Linked DNA regions of Mus musculus. The protein of the gene in region 1 purifies or fractionates together with the protein of each later gene. This does not show direct contact. Links are inferred from orthologs where the notes say so. Each region holds a gene or a part of one and is shown on either strand. Other genes may lie near its edges.

The links.
Region 2: the proteins of Ccna2 (region 1) and Cks2 purify together in Homo sapiens (affinity purification with mass spectrometry; 3 studies listed by BioGRID and IntAct, counting the BioPlex papers as one, with this or other methods). This does not show direct contact. The link is inferred for Mus musculus from reciprocal best matches to the Homo sapiens genes CCNA2 and CKS2.

The regions. Positions count from the first base shown.
Region 1 is NC_000069.6:36,565,479-36,571,920, forward strand, and holds part of Ccna2 (cyclin-A2), read right to left. Parts: 5' UTR 6,346-6,442; coding exon 6,160-6,345; intron 5,502-6,159; coding exon 5,258-5,501; intron 3,612-5,257; coding exon 3,502-3,611; intron 3,334-3,501; coding exon 3,110-3,333; intron 2,454-3,109; coding exon 2,246-2,453; intron 1,636-2,245; coding exon 1,522-1,635; intron 1,197-1,521; coding exon 1,063-1,196; intron 805-1,062; coding exon 756-804; 3' UTR 30-755; coding exon of another isoform or gene 1-29. Other genes in the region: Exosc9 (exosome complex component RRP45), read left to right, coding at 1-29. UniProt on the Homo sapiens protein: Cyclin which controls both the G1/S and the G2/M transition phases of the cell cycle. Functions through the formation of specific serine/threonine protein kinase holoenzyme complexes with the cyclin-dependent protein kinases CDK1 or CDK2.
Region 2 is NC_000079.6:51,642,589-51,650,244, forward strand, and holds the start of Cks2 (cyclin-dependent kinases regulatory subunit 2), read left to right. Parts: upstream 1-2,643; 5' UTR 2,644-2,824; coding exon 2,825-2,883; intron 2,884-5,610; exon of another isoform or gene 5,611-5,746; intron 5,747-6,996; coding exon 6,997-7,124; intron 7,125-7,656. UniProt on the Homo sapiens protein: Binds to the catalytic subunit of the cyclin dependent kinases and is essential for their biological function.

The DNA of each region.
Region 1 (6,442 bases):
GGAAGAAGAAGAAGAGAACTGCTAACTAAGCTAAAGTGGTGGATCTCTGTGTGTGTGTGTGTGTATACATACTCAGTGCTAACAGCTCTGGGTATCTTACAAGCTGAACTTCTTGATACACTGTTTGTCTTTAACATTATGCTTTGAATAAACTTTCTGGAAAACTTTTCTGTTGCACAAGCTTCCCAACTCATGTAAGACCTTATTTGTTAAAGTTGATAAATAAAATGTCTCCATAAACTACTGTAACATCTGAGAGCCGAATGAGTTCTGCTACATTGAAAACAGTTTGTCTACTTTTGGTTATTTATGAACAAGTCAGCAGTTTGGTTTGGTTGCTTAGAATAATCAATCAATGCCAGAATTTGAAGGTCTTTTTCCCTGAAATATTTTAGTTTTATAAAATCTTTTCCTACTCCCCACTGTACAATAAAACAAATCAAGTTAGTTTCTAAACGACATCATTCATATTTTTATCTCAGATTAACTTTGACTTGCAAAGATTTCCAAATCAGTTTATTCTCAATATCTTGACAGTTGGCAGCACCAATGTTAACCAATTAAAATTATCCAAATAGACACATGTACAAAAGATATACAAATTAAAACCATTTTAAAAGCAATGGATACCATAATTTGTCTGTGGCTATACCATCTACATTCAGAAGTGATTGTGAAACTAAAACCCGACATAAAAACTGTACAGCATGGACTCCGAGCGACTCCTGTTTCAAACAAAGCCGGCAGTCTTTCACTCACACACTTAGTGTCTCTGGTGGGTTGAGAAGAGAAACACTGTGATATCTGTTGAGCAGAGAAAAAAAAAACTTTTAGTAAACATTCATTGGGGAGATTACAGAACAATTCATGTACCCCAAGACTGGAGAAATGCTACTTTTACTTGATTATGAATTTAAAAACATTTGATACGTAGAGCACATACATCTGCCCCCTTACCCTTCTCTTACCAGAAGCAAAGGCACAAAAGCTTCCTAATACATGACTTAAGAGCCAACTGAGGTAGTGGCAGGTTACTGTATTCAACAAGAATTGGATTCTTACTTTGAATGCTTGTACTTTTCCCGTATTGACTGTTGGGCATGTTGTGGCGCTTTGAGGTAGGTCTGGTGAAGGTCCACAAGACAAGGCTTAAGACTCTCCAGGGTATATCCAGTCTGTTGTGCCAATGACTCAGGCTAGGGAAGGGACAACCATTGAGTTTTTTGTAACAGCACAGGGCACTGACCACAAGCTCACAGTTGATCTAAATATTGGCACTAATCATTGACAGGATGTTTTGTTATTTCTAAATGTTGCTCCCTCCTCAATTCTTCACTCAGGGTGTCCCCCCTGTTTCAGCTCACTCACTCCATCTTTTATTTTGGCTGTTTACTTCCCCTGCTTGCAGCAGGTGGAAGGCTCAGATTCTTGAAGCAGAGCTTTCAGTGCACCTTTACAGCTAAGCTTTCAGCCCAAATCAAAGCGGCACCCATACTGGAGAAGGCAACTGGTAATACACACCCAGCTCTGTCCTGTGACTGTGTAGAGAGCCAAGTGGAAGGCAGCTCCAGCAATGAGTGAAGGCAGGTACTTAAGGTACGGGTCAGCATCTATCAAACTCAGTTCTCCCAAAAACTGAAATAAAAAACAAAACAAAACCCCAACTTTTATAATCACACATAAGACTCAAGATTTTGAATCCTTGCTTCCTGACCAGTTTCCATTGTCTTGGATCTCACTGGTTCTGTATCAGCCCTGGGAAAATTATTTCAATGTTTTCCTCTATTCTCAGCTTACATTTCTCTCCCCTAATATACTAGGTTGTTCTCTTTAAGCCACTAGTTAGCGCCTTTCCAGCATGGTCACTTTTGTGTATTCATTGGGAAGTTCTCTCCTGAACCTCTCAGCCCCTATCCATGGACACTAGATACTTAAATCTCTTACATATAAAAGATGCATGCTATTTTCATAAGTTAATGCTATATACATAGAATATCACTGAATTACTTGTAAAACAAAATAGACAATACACATATGATTGGTGTGTGCTTATCCAGTACATGGGCAGCTACGTTTAATGCCTGTTTATTATACCATAAGTGCAGAGCCCACAGGTAGAGAGGGCCATAGCATTTTCTGTGTATTGGAGCATTAACTGTCCGAAAAGACTTAAGCAGTGTTATTTGACGAAACCAGTGCTTGCCCCTTAATTGCAACCTAAAAACAACCCCCAAACTGGACTTACCATTGCTAAGCTTTCAACCTTACAGTTTGCAGGCTGCAGGTGCAGGAAGTACTGGGTAAGGAACTGATTTACTGTTGGTGCAGCCAAGTCAAAAGCAAGGACTTTCAATACTAGGTGCTCCATTCTCAGAACCTGCTTCTTGGAATAGGTATCGTCTGTAATATACACAAACTCTGCTACTTCTGGGGGGTATATTTCTTCAAACTTCCTATAACAAAAGCAGTTGTGAGTGAGTTTATTCAGAAGGTCTTGTCTTAATCTGAAGTGCAAAGACTGTAGACTCCACTCACTTCCATCAACCACATCCCACTGACAGCTGACTGACATCTCTAGCTGAGATGGTTAAAACCAATTCAAAGGCCCAAGTCACTAAAGGACTTCTGATTCGCCCCCTGCATACAATATCTCCTGATAGAAGGAAGATACAGCTTATACCCCAGAAAGCACTTTATTGTAGAAGAGCCACACTTTCAAACTCAATCTAGTGTGATAAAATGTGGTTGGCCTATGCTCATTCAAGGCATGTGAAATCCAGATCTAGAAAGCTTTATATATTAGATTAGAAAATAAGTTTCACTCTCTGTTCAGAATCATCCCACAGCCATTCCTAAAACTGGGTGTTGAAGAGATGGTACAATGGTTAGAGTATTGGCTGGGACCCAGGTTCAATTCTCAGCACCCACATGGTGCTCTTAACAGTATATAACACCAAGCTTAGGGGACCCAATGACCTCTTCTGCCTCAGCAGGGACCTCACATGTGCTACAGATATACATGCAGGCAAAACATCCAAAAAATATATAAATGGGGGTGTGGGGGGAGTAGTAGTGAATGATGACTCTGAACCAAACTAGGTGGACTTACGAAGCTAGCAGCATAGCAGCCGTGCCTACAAGCTGAAGCTTCCCTCTTAACACAGACATGGAGGAGAGGAATCTATCAATGTAGTTCACAGCCAAATGCAGGGTCTCATTCTGTAGTTTATATTCTTCTCCCACCTCAACCAGCCAGTCCACAAGGATGGCCCTCATGCTGTTAGTGATGTCTGGCTGCCTCTTCATGTAACCCACTTTAGGTTTACATTTAACCTGAAGGGGGGGGGGGGAATCAGAGTTAACATAATTATCAGGTGACTTCATCATTCACAAAGAAGCATACACCATAATCTTAAGTTTAGAGTAACTTGCTAGTAGTTAGCAGGCGTCAGCATTACCCTCTCTGCTTCACTTAGCCATTTGTAATGAGCAGAGCCTTACCTCCATTTCCCTAAGGTACGTGTGAATGTCTTCTTGATAGTCAGGTACTTCATTAACGTTCACTGGCTTGTCTTCTAAGACAATAGACATATCCATAGCATGTGGTGATTCTGTGTGTGTGAGATTAAAACCAAAGTATTTATCTCTTCCAATCAAAAACACCCTAATAGCAAAGCAACATAGAACATCTAATTCTGGTTTTAGGACTTTTGTCAAAGCTCTAGGATAACCTTAGTTCCAAAACAGAAATAAATGTATGCATGTATGTACACCAATAGGCTACTAAGAAGACGGAGAATTACTTTAAAGTATCATCCTCCACAGAGATGAGCAGATGAAACAATGGTTCTTTTAGGACAAGAACGTAACAGCAAAGTTTTAAAATAATTATTTTTGCCTTAAGAGAGACTGCAGATCCCATGGGTTGCCATAGTCAGATCATAATGAGGGAGTCATTAGAATCAGGTAAATGGCATGATTAACAAATGTTAGTAAAGATATCAAGTTTGTCATATCATGTCCAAACACTGATCTGTAAGGGACTTGGTGTTTGTTAAAATTGGGTCTCATTCTATAGGCTAAACTGGCCTGAAACTGACTCTGTTGCCCTAGGCTGGCAATCTTGCCTCAGCCTCCTGAGTGCTGTTTATAGGCATTAATATACTCAGCTCTAGTTTTTACCATTTCAGTTATCTTGAGATGGGAGAATCTGTGTAATAAACTGTTTCCATATCCTCCTTCCCCATCAGCAGAACTAAGTAAACTAAAGCGGCTGGAAATGGCTTAGTGCAGTGCCTGCTGCATATGCCTGAATGAAGATATGGCTTGCATTCCCAGCACCACACAGAAGCATTATCTGTAACCCCAGGAGTGGGAGAGGAAAAGGGTTGAAAATAGTCATATCCCTGTGCCTCGATGGCCAGGCTGTCTAGCCAAATCGCTGAGCTCCAAAGAAACCTTTTATCAAGAAATGAGATGGAAGAGTGGTTGAAGATACCCCAAAGTCAAGTACTCCACTAGTCTCTACTTGTACCAGCACAGGCAAGCACACCCCTTCTGCTGACACACACAGCATAAGGTAGAATGTGACAGATACCAGTATCTCTGGTCTCCATGCAGTGATGTCATAGCAACCGCAGAGCTGTCTACCGCAGCTATTTTGCCTTCCATGTGTCTGACCTACAAGCTGATGAACATTCAAACAAGTTTTAAACGAATGGTAGATATCACAATGCTTAAAACTGTAGCCTCAAGGAGCACTCTTAGGGCTGGCATGTTAAGGAGTGAGTCAGACACAAAACTGAAATCTATTCTCCTAGCCAAACATTTATAAAGTCAGATTAAGATAGATATTTACGATCTAATTAAACTTGATGTTGGTTTGCAGTGCCCTCCTGCCGGTTAAAGATTTGAGTCCTTTCATAGGTCAGTACTAGTCATGAGATTGCGGTAATCTTAACTCACTGTGTATGATCGGGTAAGACATAATCTTAAAACTCAAAATATCAAGATATAAGCTACAGGTTGAGATCCTGTCTCAAAAATAAAAGGCACAGGCTTGGTGGTTGTGGCACATGCCTTTAATCCCAGCACTTGGGAGGCTGAGGTAGGTGGATCTCTTAGTTCAAGGTCAGCCTGGTCTACAGATTGAGTTTCAGGACAGTCAAGGATACTCAAGAAACCCAGAGGGGGAATAAAAAGACAGAAAGGAGGGAAAGAAGGAAGAGAGACTGGTAAAAATAAAAAGCAACCTTACCAAAACTGCCATCCATTGGATAGTCAAGAGGTGTCAGTGGTTTTCTTGCTCCGGGTAAAGAGACAGCTGCATTAAAAGCCAGGGCATCTTCACACTCTGTTTCTTTAAGCTCAGCTGGCCTCTTCTGAGTCTCTTCTGCTTCATCCACATGAATGGTGAAGGCAGGCTGTTTACTGACTGCTTTCCATGAAGGACCAGCAGTGACATGCTCATCGTTTATAGGAAGGTCCTTAAGAGGAGCAACCTAAAGAGGAGGAATCTTTTTCAATACAACTTTGCTTCTAGCCCGGTGGGTATCAGCTTTTAATTCCAAATACTCTAAGAAACATATAAGTCCATGAGGCAAAGCCCAGGTAAAGGTGTGTAAACCGATCTGTCACAGCCATTTCTACAAAGGCTATAAATAGAACGGACTGGAATTCCAAACTAATCAAAGACTAAAGTTAGGGCAAAGAACTGATTCACAACTTTAGCCCCAGGGTGGAGCAAAACAGCAAGTCTGGCTAAAATGGCGGAATTTACCACGAAGAATACTTGCTTTATGTCCTTCCCTGAAGTAGTAATCTGGGAAGCAGATGGTGAGGGGGAAGGGATCTACATCCTAATGCAATGCCTGGCTTTAAAAGTGGAGGGAAAGGTACACAGCTGGGGGAAGTCGACACGCGAGTGGCAACGCTTGGTATGACCCCGGGCATTTTTTGGAACGCGGCGCCACTAGTGCCGAAGGGCGGTCTACACGGGTCGGCAGAGCTCGTGGGACTATTTGGTACTAGAAACGCCCGGACCGCGAAGACTGCAGCCTGACTCCCCCTGGAATGCTCAGCGTGCTTTCCGGCCCTCTGGGCTGCTAAACCCAGGACCGCTCCCGCCCGGCCCTCCTCCAGACCCCCGCGCCCTATTACCCGTCGAGTCTTGAGCTTCTGCTGCGGCGCGGGTCCACGCACGTTCCCGGCCTTCAGCACCGCCTGCGCCCGCGGCTGCTGGGCTGGCGCCAGTTTTTCGGGGTTGACATTCTCTTGGTCTTCCTGATGCAGCGAGAGCAGGGCTGAGCCCGCATCGCGACCCGAATGCCTCGAGGTGCCCGGCATCGCGGCTCCGGTCCGGTTCTGTCGGCGGCAGAGCGTGCACAGCGCCCGCCGCTCCGGAGCAGCGCGGGACCCTGGCGGCCGACCCGCGGAGCAGAGG
Region 2 (7,656 bases), on another chromosome or scaffold:
TATTGGGTAAGGGCAGTAACACTTGCATGTAACTAACTCTTCAAGGGTGTGTTTTTGCTGCCTAGTTTGTAAATGTGTAACTTCCCTTTCAGGGATCTGTTACTGTGGCGGACATCAAGGACGCAGGTACACAGGATGAGGTTCCTGAGAGGGACTGAGGATACACTGTCTACACTGGCAAGTTGAACTTCCTGCTGTTGACAAAGCTAACAGAGAAACCTTAAGGGACTACTTCTAATGTTTCTTGATAAGAATTATGTTAACATCGGTCTCTATGGATACTCTTCCCAGTTAAACTTTCCCCTTCTTATAATTTCTGAGTAGTATTAATCAGTGCCTGGTAGGTAGACTTATTGAGTTTGAATTATATGTATGTGAATTTTATTATTTTTCTGCATCTATTAGAATACTTTTTGCTTTATAGTACTTACTTACTTACTTACTTTAATCCCAAGTGCTGGGATTAAAGGCGTGGGCCACCACTGCCCAGCCTCTCATTTGTTTCTTGAGAACACAATCTCACTTTGTTAACTTTAGCTGACTGGTACTATGTAACCCAGAGAGACCTTGAACTCTTAGCAATCCTTTTGTCTTAGCCTCCTGACCTATGGGATAAGAGAGTGAGCCAACATGCCTGGCAACTGTCTTTCAAAATACATCTGCTATAAAGATTTCCTTTTCCTTTCCCAGATTATTTATCTAGGAATAGAGACGACGACTACTTCTTCTTCTTCTTCTTTTTTTTTTTTTTTTTTTTTTTTTGGTTTTTTGAGACAGGGTTTCTCTGTGTAGCCCTGGCTGTCCTGGAACTCACTCTGTAGACCAGGCTGGTCTCAAACTCAAGCCTCTGCCTCCCAAGTGCTGGGATTAAAGACTCGCGCCACCACGGCTGGCTGGTATATTTTTTAAGAACCTCATTATTGAGTATCCACCATGCACAGGGACTCTACTGTGCTCTAGACATGGATAATAAACAAAGTAAGTATGCTCTCTACATTCACTGCATGGAGAATAAATAGTGCAGGGAAACAATGTGTAAGCCAATGTCCGTTCTGGTGAGCAGGAGATCTAAAGGATTCCCTATCAGTGGAGACTTGGAAAGCAGGGCACTTTCTCTAGATCAGCTGTTCTCAATCTACTAGACTCCCATGGGAGCTGAGTATCAGAGATTTACAATTCATAACAGTGGCAAAATTATAGTTATGAAGTAGCAACAAAATATTATAAAGTTAAGGATCACCACTTGCATCAAAGGGCTGCAGCATCAGGAAGGTTGAGAACCACTGCTTAGATAGTAATTAAAGATCTTTCAGAACAGAACTCATACCTCCATATTATTTGTGTTATAGAGTGTATGCTTACATCCTCCTATTTACATGTTGAAATTTTAATCCCACCTGTTGTCTCACGTGATAATATCGGTAGGCAATTAGCACCTTTATTATTTTAGTGCTAAAAATAACTTTAAAGTTGTGCAAGAAGTCAGACGATCTTGTGTTCTCTTTAACTGAGGGCCAAGTGAAGTCGGGAAACCTGTCGTTAAAAGATTGCAGGCACCTGATTACCCAACTCTATAAAAAAATAAAATTGTAGTTACATGCTGACTTCCGTTTTTATTATTTTAGACAGGATCACACTTTGCTATCCTACCATCTGTTAAAGATATTAGGCTGAAGCTGGACGGTGATGGGGCATCCACTTTTAATCCCAGCACTGGGGAGGCAGGGGCAGGAGGATCGCTGAGTTTGAGGCCAGCTTGGTGTACAGAGCGAGTTCCAGGATAGCCAGGGCTACACAGAGAAACTCTGTCTCAAAAACAAAACAAAACAAAACAAAACAAAAAACAGCCGGGCGGTGGTGGCGCACGCCTTTAATCCCAGCATTTGGGAGGCAGAGGCAAATGGATTTCTGAGTTCGAGGCCAGCCTGGTTTACAGAGTGAGTTCCAGGACAGCCAGAGCTACACAGGAAAAGCCAGTCTCCGAAAAAACAAAAACCAAACCAAACTAAAAAAAAAAAAGGAGGAGGGAGGGGTGTTGACCTGGCATTGGAGTACAGGGATTAAAGGTGTGGGCCAGTACGCCCAGCTGCCGTGGGTTACTTTGTTATCCTAACAGCCACACCAGAGCAATTCATCCACTGCAACAAATCGCAAAAATATTAAAAGAAAAATGACACCTGCTCATTGTAGAAAATGGTTGTTATATGTAACTTGCTGCACGAAACCACGACTTAACACCCTTTCAACTTCCTTTTACATGAGCACATCTTTTTAAGATGGGACTAGCTCGCAGCCAAGCGTAATTAGCGTTGCCATCAGGGGCAGCGGAGGGCACCTTACCCTCTGGAACGCTCCGCAGCTGGACTTCCCTGACCACAGAGACCGCCCCCCAGGCGTCTCGTGCCGCTCCGGCCCCCAGAGCCCCGGATACCTCATCTCGTGTCCGCCCACCACCCAACGGTTCTGCCCCCAGGCACGTTCTAAACCACTGCGCACGCGCTGCGAGGCACTTAACGACTCGGCTCCGCCCTTCTCAATATCTCTTGGGGTCGCCGGGCGCTCCTCGCTGAATCGTTAGCCAATCCTTACTCCCGCCCTCGCAATCTTGCAACAGGCTTCTGATTGGTTACCTGTCCTCGAGGTCTGCGCGGAGCGTGATTGGTTGGTGGCTTCGCCCAATCGGCGGAGGGCTGTCGGATTCAAATCCAGAGCGTTGGGCCTGCGGTCGTTGGCCTCATTCGAGTCGTTGCGTCGGCCCTAGGCGGACGTAGAGCCCCTTGCGCCCGGTTTCCTGATCCCGCTTACTCCTCTGCGCGCCGGCAGGATGGCCCACAAGCAGATCTACTACTCAGACAAGTACTTCGATGAGCACTACGAGTACCGGTGAGGAGCGCCTGCGGAGGAGGGCCGCGCTGGGAGGTCAGACCTGGTGGTCGGGACTCGGACCCCCTTAGAGGCCTCCGTCCGTCCGGGCAGCCTTGCTTTGTGTAGTGTTGCGGGGATCGCAGGAGATGGGGAGTCGTTAGATGGGTGGGCAGCGCCTAGTCTGGGAGTTCACGACCGCAAACCGCACTGGCCCGGACTGGCCGGGAGGGGAAGTCCCCGGAAACGCACCCGACGGGCATTATCGAGTGTCTGATGGGTAACGGCTCCAGACGCTGTAACACGGGGCGTTGTTAAAGGGCTTCAAGATCAAATTGAAAACTCGAGATTGCCTTCGGAAGGATTGGGGTGGTGGTGGCTACGTTACCTTCAACTGCTAGTCCATATTGGCCACGTTTGGGGCTTTTGAGGAAGTTTTGAGTTTTAAATCCTGAGATGCGCAGGAAGGTAGTACCTACGTTAATATAATTAGCAAATGGGATTGTGGAAAGTAAGGGAGGATTGTAGTTAACTTTATTGTATCCCTTATGACTTGGGGTGTGGTTTCAAAGGCCTTTCCGTCGCTGGGTTCTTCTGGGTTGGGATTAGAGCGTTGCATTCTGGGACACAGTCAAGGACTCCAGGTGGGTAAAACCTGTTCCTCCCTTGGGCAAATAGTGACCTTGTTTTCTGTTTGCTGCCCTTTTAGGTTAGTGTCCAGAATGCTGTTTGAGGGATGAGACACTTTTTAAAAGAGTGGCTTCACCGCCCCACCCCCCATTCTCTCAGTCCGCTAGTGTAGAAGTCTTCACAGCCAGAAAACTTTTTCCAGGCTGTTTGACGATGCACTAATGCTATAAACTTGAATGTTCTTAAGTAGGGAAGTCTCATGGGTTTTTTTTTTCCCCCTTACTAAAAAATTTAAATACATAACAGTCTTTACATAGTAATTACAAACTTCACAATGGTAACCATGTGATAATTGGCTTAATATTTGGTCGTTATAGTAACTCAGAACTTGGTTTGGAAATATCCAAAAATGACCGAAAGTAATTGTACTGTCTTTCTAAATTAGGCAAATAATTATTTGGATGGAAATGTTTAGCATATGGGTTTATATACATTTCTTTAGTTGTCAAAGTGAGATAGTTTTAGTTTCTAAACTTGGAGTATATAAGTTGTGCGTGTTTTGGGGAGCAACTGCTGGTCTGTCTTAAGTATTTTACTCCAATATAAAGTAGGAGCTAGTTTATTACCCACTGGAATCCAGAGGTCAAAAAAAGTGTTTTATTTTGAAACATGAAGTGTTTAAGCTTGCTGTTCTGCCTTAGCAGTTGCTGAGATGGTGGGTGTGTTGCCACACTAGCTTGAGCTTAACTGACCAACCTTTACAAAAGAATTAGAGAGGTGCTCTTGACAGGGACTGTGTACTGGTGATATGACACAGAGGTGTGAGTCTAGGGTGTTTTGTTTATAGTAGAACTATGTGTGTTGGATAAAGTTCAAAACTTAGTGATTTTGTGAAGGGGTGATTACTAGGAACAGAGTAGACTGCTCCTCAAATATCATGGGAGTCCTTTTGGGCATTTTTGAGGGAGTCTCCATAACCCAGGGTGTCCTGGAACTCCATGTAGACAGCTCTAGCTGCATCTGCCTTACTAGTCCGGGGAGGGACCTGTGTGTCATCAGGCCCAGCCTGTCCTTACAGAAATAAAATGGAGGATTTCTTTGCACTTGAGTCATATATTGCACTTTTTGTATTCCAACAAAAACTGGGTTCTGAGAATAGTTTTCCTGGTACATGATCAGTAGTAATATACAAATAAAATCATGTACATTATAAATGACCCCATATGAAGTGCAGCCTCTTGACATGACTTATCAGGTAGGAGATACTTGAGGCTCCTTGTATCTGAATGCCTTGTAGAGACAGTACTGTTTGTGAAAGCTAATTGACAAGCATAATGTCTGTCACTTAAGGCATATCAGTGGCCGGGCGGTAGTGGTGGTGCACGCCTTTAATCCCAGCACTTGGGAGGCAGGGGTAGGCAGATTTCTGAGTTCAAGGCCACCCTGATCCCAGAGTGAGTTCCAGGACAGCCAGGACTATACAGAGAAACCCTGTCTCAAAAAAAAAAAAAAAAAAAAACGGGGAAAAAAACCCCAGAAACAACAACAAAGACTGATATCAGTGGAAAGATAAGGTCATGGGTTATTTTGTACAGTCTTGATTATTGGAAGTCTCTCTGAACTCAAATAGGTGCCCTGAAACTTGGCAATCCTTCCTTCCTCCACTATGATATATAGCAGCAAAGCAGTAACAGTAACAAAAACATTAAGCAGTATTTCAAGAATGAGTGGTAACTTGTGTGGGTAAGAATATTTATTTAATATGTGCCTGGAAATGGCAGTGATGGCACGTAGTCATCGGCCTTGTGGTAAAGCTGGTTAAGGATTATCTGCGCTCAAATCCACAGCTTAAAACCTGTTATGGGCAGTTTGGTGCTTAGAGTGGACTATGGACTGCACTATCCCAATTCCAAAAGTCCAGAGCTGAATTTGCACCTCCATCTCAGACTTGACTTATACTGGTCAAAAAATGTTAATTGCTAACTTTGTGTAAAGTTAAAACCAGGGGTAATTAAAGTGAGGCTGAAATTTAGAGATACTTTGTGGTGACAATGCTTTATGCAGGCTAGGGTACAAATTTGCTTGTGTATATATGTGTTAAAATTGTGTTTGTTTGTTTTGGCCCTGAATCAAGGCCGCAGTTTACTGAAGCTGTTGGTTTCAAGCAGGAGCCTAAAGAAATATCTTTCTATGGTCTGTTGGCCATTGCAGAAATTTGTAAGTCTAATGGTCAATTCATTAGAAAGAAACACCTGGATGGATGTTGTACCCAATTCTGTAATTGTAGCACTTGGGAGCCTAAGGCAAAAAGATAGTTTGAGGCCAGTTTCCACTGCAGCATGATAAGGAGTGGGGGCGGGTCTCAAAGAAACAGCTGAGTCATTAGTGATAGATATGGCTAAGTCTCCATGAGATTCTAAGATTTCTGTATAATACTTATACATTACTGGTTTAGCTTAATTGTTCATTAAATTATATGTTAGATCCATTAGTAGGAAAAAAAGATTACTGGGGGGTGGGGGGGAGCCCGGTGTGGTGGCGCACGCCTTTAATCCCAGCACAGAGGCAGGCGTATTTCTGAATTCGAGGCCAGCCTAGTCTACAAAGTGAGTTCCAGGACAGCCAGGGCTATACAGAGAAACCCTGTCTTTGGGGGGAAAAAAAGATTAGTGTGGGTTTTCCACAGAAAGGAAAAATTGTGTTGATAATGGCTTGATACTAAAGACTTAAGTGCTTCCTAACGTTCTGGAAATGCACTTTACTGGGAAACCAACGGTCACATGAAGTTCCAAAGGCATATTTTTGCTTTTAATTTGGAGCGTGAAGCAAACTGGAATATATACAAGTACTACAGATTTAGTATTGAATAACAGGGAACACATTAACTTAGTTTGGTTCCCCCCCCTCCAAGCCCCAGTACTAAAAGTTTAGTAATCTCAGGTTGAGGTGACAACTAATTCTGGGACTAGGCTCCTTACTCTTACATATAAGTTACATATAACTCCCTTTTAGACTGCCTCTGACTTTCTCTTGCTGTTCTAGCTATCCTAATACCACCAGTCTATTTAACAGGAGAGAATATTTTTTTACTTGGGTATGGTCTTGCTCTTTGAGTATACTTTCCAGTACATGAATATTTTCTACCTATATCCTATAGACCAAGAGTTGCTTCATGACTTTTTAGATTTTAAGGTCCTATTCCTAGAAGATAGCTCAATAACAAGTATTCTGCTAGAAATTTACCCCTACAGAATAAAATGCCTTTCATTTTTGTGCAACTTATATTGGCCTAATACTTTAACATAAACCATCAAAAGCCAGAAGTATATGCTATAAGTATAGATCGATACAGATAATATTGTAGTGTAGAGTTGCTTTAGAGAATTTAGTTTGTTTTGAGGATAAAAACCCTTCACAATTTCAAGTATCTCAAAGGTAAGGTTCCTGTATAAAGTGATGTTGGTGGGAAAGATGGCACTAATCTTTGGCTGAATATTTTAATAGGCATGTCATGTTACCCAGAGAACTCTCTAAACAAGTACCCAAAACTCATCTGATGTCCGAAGAGGAGTGGAGGAGACTTGGTGTCCAACAGAGTCTAGGATGGGTTCATTACATGATTCATGAGCCAGGTAAGCTTTGCTGTAAAGGAAAGTGATGTTGTTCCTTCTACCTGCAAAAGTGACTCACTTAGTATAAAACAGGTGCCAAAATCCTGCACATATATAGAAATTGTTGCTACCTTTTTATACTTAAAAGGTGGCATTGTTAAACTGGAGTCTTCCTTGGAATTATGGCACATATCTTTAGGAGCTCAGAAATCCTTCCTATCAATAGGAAAGCAGAAGTGCTATAGATGCTGGCCTTCATCCCGTTGAATGAGGAAGCTTTGGGTGGACTCTCTGAGTTTAATCTTTTAAGCCCCCACCCCCCCCCCTCACCCCCCAGAGATCTGGTTTGACTAGAACAACCCTTTCTTAGCTAAGTGTGTATGGCATCAATTTATTTATTTGGATGTGAATTAGCCTGAGATCCAGCAGCTGACTTGAATTAGCTGTTCTTTTTTCAAAGAGATTACATTTCTCTTCACTGAAAATGATTTTGCAGGTAGAAATTATTTTCCAGAGTCGGTCAAAGGATAAAATGGTAGAACAATGCTATTAT